3 linked regions of the Macaca mulatta genome follow. The protein of the gene in region 1 interacts with the protein of each later gene in a pairwise test. Links are inferred from orthologs where the notes say so. Each region holds a gene or a part of one and is shown in the gene's direction. Other genes may lie near its edges.

Evidence for each region. The genes of interacting proteins can lie anywhere in the genome.
Region 2: the proteins of PEG10 (region 1) and EXOSC5 interact in binary tests that used the Homo sapiens proteins (3 or more experiments, as listed by UniProt). The link is inferred for Macaca mulatta from reciprocal best matches to the Homo sapiens genes PEG10 and EXOSC5.
Region 3: the proteins of PEG10 (region 1) and LNX2 interact in binary tests that used the Homo sapiens proteins (3 or more experiments, as listed by UniProt). The link is inferred for Macaca mulatta from reciprocal best matches to the Homo sapiens genes PEG10 and LNX2.

Annotation. Positions count from the first base shown.
Region 1 is NC_133408.1:124,716,183-124,719,931, reverse strand, and holds the start of PEG10 (retrotransposon-derived protein PEG10), read left to right. Parts: upstream 1-1,112; 5' UTR 1,113-1,233; coding exon 1,234-2,313; coding exon of another isoform or gene 2,314-3,461; 3' UTR 3,462-3,749.
Region 2 is NC_133424.1:52,541,570-52,545,318, reverse strand, and holds the start of EXOSC5 (exosome complex component RRP46), read left to right. Parts: upstream 1-1,357; 5' UTR 1,358-1,422; coding exon 1,423-1,570; intron 1,571-3,749. Other genes in the region: BCKDHA (2-oxoisovalerate dehydrogenase subunit alpha, mitochondrial), read right to left, coding at 818-925. UniProt on the Homo sapiens protein: Non-catalytic component of the RNA exosome complex which has 3'->5' exoribonuclease activity and participates in a multitude of cellular RNA processing and degradation events.
Region 3 is NC_133422.1:7,657,712-7,661,460, reverse strand, and holds the start of LNX2 (ligand of Numb protein X 2), read left to right. Parts: upstream 1-1,308; 5' UTR 1,309-1,479; exon of another isoform or gene 1,480-3,749.

The DNA of each region.
Region 1 (3,749 bases):
TTTGGGGCTATGCTGACAAATCTTGGTTAAAAACTATGGATTGCAAACTGGTGACCTGCAAGACAAATAAGGCCTTGGATTTGACCAACACAGTGTTTTTAAAAAAGTAAACATCTTTAGGTGGGAAATGCATGCCCATGTTGCTATAGTTGCAGCCCCTCCCTCTTTTAATCCCACTCTCTTCACACAGATAATCACCTTTCTATTTTCTAATTAATAACTTTGTTAATATCAGCTAACCATTATTGAATACTCACTACATAATTTACCTGCACTATTTAATTAAGTCCTCACAATTAGTTTGAGGTATACTATTATTGGGCTTCTTTGAATGCCCCATTTTATAGCTTTTCCTAGGAGGCATCAATTAGTATTTCTTGAATGACTGCATAAATGACAAGGGAAACTGACATACACATATTGCTGCTTAGTGCCATTTCTGTCCCACAGAGAATTTTCTTTGGGGATTTAAATTATGGTCAGAAAAGTAATTTAGGCAGTCCTGTAGTTTTTGTGGTGGTGGTTGTTTGATTTGATAACCAGTGACCTTCTCTGTGGCAGTGAAACAGGGTTGTGACAGTTGGCCACAGTACCCTCCTCCCGCCCACAGGGCTGATGAATACATGCATTGTGATTTTAATACTCCCCTCTTTTTTAATTAGCTTCTATTAGTTGTAGTATTAACTATTTTTGGCCTAGCTTCTTTAGTAACAAAAGTTATTATTTTGGCTTTAATTTGCATAATTGATTTGGTATCTATGTTTGCCTTGAAGTTTCTTCCTCTGTTTCAATACAAAACTACTTGTTTAGAGGGTTTCAACATTCTTTTATAGTTTATAAAGGTAAGCATGCTGTTGATGATGTATTGTTGAATCATAATGAACAGGTGGCCTTTGAGGAAGACAAGGTCATTTGAACATCAAAAAGTAGTTTCCTTTTTGTTATCTATGGTGCTGATTGATACTTTTCTCTTGAAAGTTTGTTTTCTTTGTTCGCTAATTATTAAAGTAAGTGCATGGAGCAAGGGATAATTTAAATACTAAATCCTTTGTGTCTGCATTTTGCTGCTTTGAATCTATAAGTTGGATTTATACATTTATCTTTATTTACAGAAATAAGCGGATTTTGAAAACAAAAAAAAGAAGGAGTGGAAGAGGGGGCCAGGATCCAGGCCTCCATCCCCACAGAAGTGAAGCTACAGCTGGGAGGTCTCCTCCCACCCCAACCGTCACCCTGGGTCCCGACTGCCCACCTCCTCCCCCTCCCCCTCCCCCCAACAACAACAACAACAACAACTCCAAGCACACCGGCCATAAGAGCGCGTGTGTCCCCAACATGACCGAACGAAGAAGGGATGAGCTCTCTGAAGAGATCAACAACCTAAGAGAGAAGGTCATTAAGCAGTCCGAGGAGAACAGCAACCTGCAGAACCAGGTGCAGAAGCTCACAGAGGAGAACACCACCCTTCGAGAGCAAGTGGAACCCACCCCTGAGGATGATGATGATGACATCGAGCTCCGCGGTGCTGCAGCAGCTGCTGCCCCACCCCCTCCAATAGAGGAAGAGTGCCCAGAAGACCTTCCAGAGAAGTTCGATGGCAACCCAGACATGCTGGCTCCTTTCATGGCCCAGTGCCAGATCTTCATGGAAAAGAGCACCAGAGATTTCTCAGTTGATCGTGTCCGTGTCTGTTTCGTGACAAGCATGATGACCGGCCGTGCTGCCCGCTGGGCCTCAGCAAAGCTGGAGCGCTCCCACTACCTGATGCACAACTACCCAGCTTTCATGATGGAAATGAAGCATGTCTTTGAAGACCCTCAGAGGCGAGAGGCTGCCAAACGCAAGATCAGACGCCTGCGCCAAGGCATGGGGTCTGTCATCGACTATTCCAATGCTTTCCAGATGATTGCCCAGGACCTGGATTGGAACGAGCCTGCGCTGATTGACCAGTACCACGAGGGCCTCAGCGACCACATTCAGGAGGAGCTCTCCCACCTCGAGGTCGCCAAGTCGCTGTCTGCTCTGATTGGGCAGTGCATTCACATTGAGAGAAGGCTGGCCAGGGCTGCTGCAGCTCGCAAGCCACGCTCACCACCCCGGGCGCTGGTGTTGCCTCACGTTGCAAGCCACCACCAGGTAGATCCAACCGAGCCGGTGGGAGGTGCCCGCATGCGCCTGACCCAGGAGGAAAAAGAAAGACGCAGAAAGCTGAACCTGTGCCTCTACTGTGGAACAGGAGGTCACTACGCTGACAACTGTCCTGCCAAGGCCTCGAAGTCTTCGCCGGCGGGAAACTCCCCGGCCCCGCTGTAGAGGGACCTTCAGCGACCGGGCCAGAAATAATAAGGTCCCCACAAGATGACGCCTCATCTCCACACTTGCAAGTGATGCTCCAGATTCATCTTCCGGGCAGACACACCCTGTTCGTCCGAGCCATGATCGATTCTGGTGCTTCTGGCAACTTCATTGATCACGAATACGTTGCTCAAAATGGAATTCCTCTAAGAATCAAGGACTGGCCAATACTTGTGGAAGCAATTGATGGGCGCCCCATAGCATCGGGCCCAGTTGTCCACGAAACTCACGACCTGATAGTTGACCTGGGAGATCACCGTGAAGTGCTGTCATTTGATGTGACTCAGTCTCCATTCTTCCCTGTCGTCCTAGGGGTTCGCTGGCTGAGCACACATGATCCCAACATCACATGGAGCACTCGATCTATTGTCTTTGATTCTGAATACTGCCGCTACCACTGCCGGATGTATTCTCCAATACCACCATCGCTCCCACCACCAGCACAACAACCGCCACTCTATTATCCAGTAGATGGATACAGAGTTTACCAACCAGTGAGATATTACTATGTCCAGAATGTGTACACTCCAGTAGATGAGCACGTCTACCCAGATCACCGCCTGGTTGACCCTCACATAGAAATGATACCTGGAGCACACAGTATTCCCAGCGGACATGTGTACTCACTGTCTGAACCTGAAATGGCAGCTCTTCGAGATTTTGTGGCAAGAAATGTGAAAGATGGGCTGATTACTCCAACGATCGCACCTAATGGAGCCCAAGTTCTCCAGGTGAAGAGGGGGTGGAAACTGCAAGTTTCTTACGATTGCCGAGCTCCAAACAATTTTACTATCCAGAATCAGTATCCTCGCCTATCTATTCCAAATTTAGAAGACCAAGCGCACCTGGCAACGTACACTGAATTCGTACCTCAAATACCTGGATACCAAACGTACCCCACGTATGCCGCATACCCGACCTACCCAGTAGGATTCGCCTGGTACCCAGTGGGAAGAGACGGACAAGGAAGATCACTATATGTACCTGTTATGATCACTTGGAATCCACACTGGTACCGCCAGCCTCCGGTACCACAGTACCCGCCGCCACAGCCGCCGCCTCCACCACCGCCGCCGCCGCCGCCTCCATCTTACAGTACCCTGTAAATACTTGTCGTGTCCTTCAGGATCTCTGCCCTCAAAATTTATTCCTGTTCAGCTTCTCAATCAGTGACTGTGTGCTAAGTTTTAGGCTACTGTATCTTCAGGCCACCTGAGGCACATCCTCTCTGAAACGGCTGTAGAAGGTCAGGGCCACCCTGGACTGGCACACATCCTAAAGCACCAAAAGACCTTCAACATTTTCTGAGAGCAACAGAGTATTTGCCAATAAATTAGCTCTCATTTTTCCACCTTGACTGCCAATCTAACTAAAATAATTAGTAAGTTTACTTT
Region 2 (3,749 bases), on another chromosome or scaffold:
TTTACACAATTCATTTTAAAATCAGAATTGTGGCAAAGGAGCAAAGAAATACAAGGCCCTATGCAGCCTGCGATAAGGGGACTTGCTCTCTTCTTTCTTCTTCTTGAAGAGGGATCTTTGCCCAGAAGAAAGTCTCTCCTTTATAAAGTCAGTTTCATTCTCCAAAGCCTGAGGGAAAAGGTCTCGCGGTCTTCCCCTGTCCCTCCAAGGAACCTCCCCTGAATACGAGTGGCAGTTAATAAGGAACCCCCGGCCGGGCGCGCTGGCTCACGCCTGTAATTCCAGCACTTTGGGAGGCCGAGGTGGGCGGATCACGAGGTCAGGAGATCGAGACCATCCTGGCTAACACAGTGAAACCCCGTCTCTACTAAAAATGCAAAAAAAAAAAATTAGCCGGGGGTGGCGGCGGGCGCCTGTAGTCCCAGCTACTCGGGAGGCTGAGGCAGGAGAACGGCGTGAATCCGGGAGGCAGAGCTTGCAGTGAGCTGAGATCCGGCCACTGCACTCCAGACTCCGCCTCAAAAACTAACTAAATAAATAAATAAGGAACTCCCATCCCTCTCTTCAAGTCGTCTCCCTTCCTCAGGGCCCACAAAGAAGTTGCAAACGGGTTTTGTCCTCTCCTGAAGAAGTGGAAGTTCTTTTCTTCTAAGGAAGTGGCAGATCTTCCCTTCGGTGTCTTCTCCAAGGGGTCTCCCACTCTTTTTCCCTTCTGTGACAGCCCTTCCTTCATATCCTTCAGGGACCCCACACTCTGAAGATAGCCTTTACATCCCTAATCCCCTTTGGGAAAACCCCCTGGGGCCCAGGTACTCACAGATCTAGCCAGTCCCCGAGCCCCAGGCCGCCACAGCAGCAAGAGGGCAGCCTGGCTCAGGCCTCGGTTTGGCCGCCAGACCCTCGCCGCAGCGATCGCTACCGCCATCTTGGCTAGCAACCACTCAGCGGTAGGGCACTCACGTAGGCTAGATTCGGGGCTGCCCCTTTATGTGCCTGACACAAACTCCAGCACCATCTGACAAGAAAATCACCTTCTTCCCATTCTGTTGTAGATAGAATGCACAGAGATTTGGAGAAGAAAACCTATCTACCCAAAATTTTCCCCAGTCGCCTCATTGTAGTTACTCCTGTAACAGGCAAAGAAGAGGGCAACCTGACCACGGCCTCAGGGATTTAGGGCCCGGGGGCCCAGAGTAAAACAGGTCACTGCCAAGGCCTGCCTCCTGTTCTCAACTGTCCAATGGCGTTGCCAGAGTTAGGAGGTGGGACTGGGCGGAGCCAGATTGTTGGTAAACGCTAAGCCACGTGCGGACGCCAGGACTGACGGCCGAGCCCAGCGCGTGCGCAATGGTTACGCAGAGTGTTCGCAGCGCGCGCTGCCGGGCGGAAGTGATAATCGCAGCCGCACGTGGGGTCGGCGCGATGGAGGAGGAGATGCATACTGACGCCAAAATCCGCGCTGAAATTGGAACAGGGTGCAGCCCTCGGGGTCCCGGCTGCAGCCTCCGGCACTTTGCCTGCGAACAGAACCTGCTGTCGCGGCCAGATGGCTCTGCTTCCTTCCTGCAAGGTAAGAACTTACCCAGGTCTTTTGGAGAGGGACTACCATGTACCGTGCAACGGAGTGCCCATCTCCCCATGATACCAGCTGGTAAATGTCACTCCTGCGTTGATACATGATTTCTTGTCCGATTGAATACTACTACATACGCAGGGATACATACATCTCTCCCTCACGACTAGAAAGGAGAAGATAGCTCCATCTTTGTAAATATGTCTGAGAATGACAGGCGGGGCAGACCGTCCCCGCAAGAATTGATATTTCAGAATAGGGAAAATCACCTCACCAGGGTAAATATCGCCCTTAACTAGGTTCCTCCTCCTCACCCCCGCCCCCGCCCGCCCCACACACACGCCCGCTAGGTCCTTGCATCCCGGACTGACGCAAACCTGTCAATTTGCATACTCTGGACTGTGGCGGATCTTTCACCCACGTAAATACTCCTCAAATTGAAGATAATGTCACTGCCCTGGGTTGAAAAATACATCCCCACCGCTACCTCACTGCATCTCTCCACAGGAGTAAATATCCCTAAGATTAGGGCAAGTCTTACCTATAGGGCAAATATCCCCTTCCCCTAGCTAAATAACTCTCAGAACCAGATTAACTCCAAGAATATTTCTCTTTAACGTTTGAGACAGGAGGCTGGGCACAGTGGCTCACGCCTGTAATCCCCACACTTTGGGAGGCCAAGGCGGGTGGATCACCTGAGGTCAGGAGTTCGAGACCAGCCTGGCCAACATGGCGAAACCCCGACTCTACTAAAAGTACAAAAATTAGCCAGGCATGGTGGTGGGCGCCTGTAATCCCAGCTACTGGGGAGGCTGAGGCAGGAGAATCTCTTGAACCCAGGAGGCAGAAGTTGCAGTGAGCCAAGATTGTGCCATTGTACTCCAGTGTGCACGACAAAACAAGATAATGTCTCAAAAAAAAAAAAAAAATTTTGAGACAGGGTCTCACGATGTTGCCCAGGTTGGTCTTGAACTCCTGGACTCAAGCAGTCCTCCTCCCAAAGTGCTCATATAGGTACCAGCCACCACGCCCAGCCCCAATACATTTTAACAAAATCTGGCTGCTGTGTTGATTGTGGGGAGTATGGGGGAAAACAGGGAGGTGATGGTGGCTCCAGCCAGAACAGGAGTAGTGGAGGTGATGAGATTCTGGATGTAGTTTGAAAGTAAAACGGACAAAACTTACCTATAGTTTGGTTTGAGTGCGAGGAAAAAGAGTCAGGCATAACTAAGGTTTCTGCCCAGATCTGTACAAGTCTGGAAATCAGGAGAGAGACCCAAGCTGGACATAGGCAATTTGGAACTCTCTGGCTGTATATATGGTATTTCAGCCTATTGACTGAACGAAGTCAGTGTAGATGGAAAAGAGGTCCCAGGACCAAGCCCTAGGCCTTCCAACTTGAGCAGTCAGGGACTTGTGACAAGCAAGCTAAAGGAGACTCAGAAGGAACGCCCAGAGACTTAGGGGGAAACCGGGAGAGGGTGGTGACCTGGGGCCAAGAGAAGAGCGTGTCTGAGATGTGAGGGCTGACAGCTGTTTCGGCCTTACTGACAGCCGGGTCAATGGAGGGTTGATCATTTGGAGGTCAGTGGTGACGATGTTGAGCTGCCGCAGTGGAGTGGTGGGGTCACAGGAAAGGAAGAATAGACAGCTGTTCAGGAGTTTTGCTGTAAGAGGATCAGATAAGTGGGGCAGGAATTGAAGATGGTTGTGGGGTCAACAGGGGAGAGAATTGCTGGAGCCACGTCTTGAAGAAGGTGAGAGGGGAGGGACTCTTGTGCTCAGGCGAAACACAGGCAGTTCATCTGGAGCCAGAGGCGAGTTCTATTTTGGTTTCTCCAGTCCTCAGGGCAGTTTTTCCTGGAACTAAGCACACCTTCCGTGTAAGGGCAAATTGGGCATCCCAGGAAATACCGCCTTAACCAGGGACCTTCCCGGACCCTCCCTCAGGCTTAGCACTTATGCTGAATTGAGATACCTCAAGTTTCTTCGAACCTAAGAATTAAGAAGGGGCCGGGCGCAGTTGCTCACATGGGTTGCTCACACCGGTAATCCAAGCACCTTGGGAGGCCGATGAGGGTAGATCACCTGAGGTCAGTAATTCTTTTTTTTTTTTTGACACAGAGTCTCGCCCTGTCACCCAGGCTAGAGTGCAGTGAAGCGATCGTGGCTCACT
Region 3 (3,749 bases), on another chromosome or scaffold:
CGGAGGACGGAAGGAGGGAGGAGGAGCCGCAGCGGCGCGGCAGGGCCCAGCCGCGGGGCGGGGCATCAGGCTCCGCCCCCAGGCTCCGCCCCGACGCGGGGTGGGCGGTGGCTCGCGGCCCGGCGGCTCACCTGGGCGACCAGGCGAGGCCACTCACGGCGGGAGGGGCAGGGGGTGGGGCCAGCGCCGCTTTACCCCGAGGCCCAGACAGGCCTGCGGGCGCGCCAGCTCAACCTTGGTACCTTTCCCCAGGTGATGGTGAAGGAGCGGGGCTTTACCTGCCGCCCCCAAATCACTTCCCTTCCCAGTGGCAAGGGCGAAAGAGGCCCGACTCCCCCACTGGGGCGGTGTTGACCCAGGATGGCCCTTCCTGGGACCCCGGCCTCCTGGGCCTTCTGTGGGACGACAGGCTTAGGCTCTAGTCGGTCAACACACCTTGAAGAGGGAGGAGGTCACGTGCAAGATGAGTCACGACAGAATACGAGGGTTGAAGGCGGTATTTGTCTCACCGGGGACCTTGCAGTTGCATTCTCAACTGGGTCAAATAAAGGGCAAGAAAGAAATGTCTTTCTCTTTTGGGGGAGTGAGAGTTTGGGAAAAAACTGTTTCCCACCTCATCCTTTCCGTCCTAGGATTCCTTCTATCCCCCAGAGCGCGTCCTCTCCGGCTGTGGACTTCCTTTCCCTTTACCCGCTGTGGCTCTTCAAACCTCTTCACCTGCGGAACCCGCCCTCACCTTTGTTCCCAGGTGCCCAGCCCCCGCCTCGGCAACCTTCGCCACCCAGACTCGCTCTCCGCCCAGCTCCCTGTCCCGGCCCCGGCCACGCTCCCTCAGGTGCGCTTCCTCTCGAATAGGCCCTTCTCCCCTAGCCGCCGGCCCCGACCCTGCCCCACTCCAGCTGTCCAGCTGTCCTGCGCAACTACGTTTCTGCTTCCCTGCGCCACCTGTTCTCCTAGCCTCCCCCCACCCCGCCCCGCGATTCCTCTGGATGTTCACTCCTTCCCGAGCAGTGCCACTCCTGGCAGCGGCCCGGGGTGCGCACAGGCACCTAGCCCCCGGGGCTTCCGCAGGGGAATCAGGCGGGCGGCGGGGACAGCCCGGGGCGGGTGGGGGAGGCGGGCGGCGAGGGCGGAGTGGTCTCACTCTAACCCAGGAGTGACGGGCCAATTCTGGCCCGCCTCCCGAGCTCTCGGATAGGTGGAGCCGCCCTCTGGTCCGCCCACCTCCCGCCCTGTGCTACCTCCGATTGGCCCGGCTGCGGGTTGGGCCGCTCGGCCTTAGCGCTGGCCCCCGGGAAGGCAGCAGGGGCGGTTGAGAAGTGAAGTCTTGGCCGGAGTTTGCTTCTTGCCAGGAAATCCGCGGTGGCGGCGGCGGCAATTCTCGGCGGAGCGGAGCCGGGCAGGCTCTCCGCTCCCTCAGCGGGCCGCGGAGAGCGGGAGCTGGTGGCCGTGCGCGGCCCGGGCAGCCGCGCTTTCCCAGTGAGTAACTTTGTCCTGCCCGCCTCGCTGCGCGCCCTCTCCCCGGCTGCGGGCAGCCGCCTCAGGTGCGGGCGTCGGCTGGGTGTGGAGGAGCGCCGCGCCCCGGGAGGCGGCCGGAGCGGCGCCGCTGCTCGCCCCGGAGCTTTGGTCGTCCGCGGCTGTCTTTGCTCGCCCGGGCTGCGGGGCTGGCGTGGACTCCGGTGTGGGGCTGGTCGGGGAGGGAGAGTCGGCGCCCGGTGCCCGCCGCCTGTAGGAGCCCTGGAGGCGGGCGGCCTCCGGCTGTTAGCATTTGCTGGTTCCGGCCACCGCGGTGCAGATCTTGGCGTCGTTTGCTTCTTAAGGGAAGGGAGAGGTGGGGTGAGTGTTTAAATTTCCTGTGTGTGTGTGTGTGGTGTCGGCAATGCGAGTGGCACTAGCTGCCTTTGTCGGATTTTGTTCCTCTGCAAAGGGATAGGGAGAGATCGTTCCCTCCGCCCTAGCCTGTTGCCTGTGAATTCTCACCTTTCTCTTTAGGCTGGAGAGGGTGGGAGATAGATTTGACATATTCCAGTGGGTAATTTAAAAATGCGAATCTTGATTTGGAACCAGTTGCACACAAAGCATCGTTCAGGAAATACATCACTCGCTTTTCAAAGCTTTATGCCACGTTTTAAACAAGGACTTTTGACTCATGTAGTGTTTCTTCTAGTATTTCAGTTTACGTTGAGTTTATGAATCCAGACGTTCGTTTGTGCCAGGAGCTAAAGTACACTTATGCATGGACTTTGCTGTATTTATTATCCTTTTTAAAATCACAGAAATCAGAAACAAAGTTGAGTGAAGAGCGGTGGCGGTGCAGGAGGAGGAACACTTGTGAGCTCCAGCTTATTGGAACTGCCTTTAAGAATTTCACATTCTTGCGGCAATAGTACTTACTTGTAAATTGGCCTTCTTCCCAGGACAGATTTTGATATTTCTTTTGCATGTACTTCGATGCAGCACTGATGAAGTTGGATCTCAGTAGATCAATTTTATTTACTTTGCTAGATTTGATTCCCACCCCCACACCTCTTTAGAAAATGGACTTTGGCAGGTAAAGAAGGAAGCGGGAATCTGGTATCCTTTTTGGCTTGTCAAAGCTTTGTTGAGCCATGAATAACAAAGTTTTGGCTTTTTAAGCTTGTCCAAGTCCCACATGTGAGTTTTCCCATGGGGTAAAAGTAGGCCAAATGAGAACCAAAGTAGAATAACATTACTTTTAATTCGGCCCACTTGTGTGTTACATTCTCCATATATCTTGTTTCTCTCGTCTTCTCATCAGCTTTGACATTTTTTCATTATTTATTCATTTAGCCACTGATAAAGTACCTACTGCATGCCAGCCATTGATGGCAGGGGTTAGTTCTTGCCCAGAAGTTTTCTCATTTGGAAACTGATCCATGCTTTTATCCCGCTAGTTACCCTGAAGTAATTTGAACTTAGGGAGCATTTCTGCCTGGAGACCTGTAAGAATAGGTGTTACGTAGGCACCTAGCCTTCAGATTGATTTGGGATATCGTACATTGTAGGCACGGAGCACGCAGGCCACTTAAAAATAAATGCATGTATCTTTGGGCTGTTGTATTATGAGCTTTGCATATGGGCTTGTCTGGCCGAAGGACCCAGTGTCCAAGGTGGAAGTAGTAGTCAGGGACATGTATGGTATTCATTTCAGAGCACTTGGCACCTTTTCTTGCTTACATTGGTCACTAAAATATTTACTGAATTGACTTGAACAGAAAAATGAAGGATTTTGTATACCAGATTAAGAAATTTGGACTTTATCCAGTCAGTGATACTGAGCTGCTAATTTTAAGCAGGAGAATGTCATGATAACATTCGCGTTCCAGAAAGATATCTGCAGCATCTGGAGGATGGTGGGCTTCCAGATGGGCGGTATTGAGACTAAGTTGGAGGCTGTTATAATGGAGGGGTTAAGTGCTCAGGGATTCTCTATTCAGATTACCTGGGGTGGAATCAGGCTCTGTCATACACTGAAACCTCTTTGTTCCTTAGGTTTTTCATCTCAGAGTTTGGGGGATAGAACTTGAAAAAACATGTATATTACTTAGAATAGTGATTGCCACATAGTAAGGACTTAGTAAATGCTAGTGTGCTGGCAGTGGAAGGAGAAACGACATGGCATTTAACGCGTATGACTAGGAGGCTGGACCAGGTAAGTGACTAGATAGGCTTAAGGAGGGGAAGGATGAATCCTGGGTTGTTTGATTTCAGGCATTGATTGACATGTA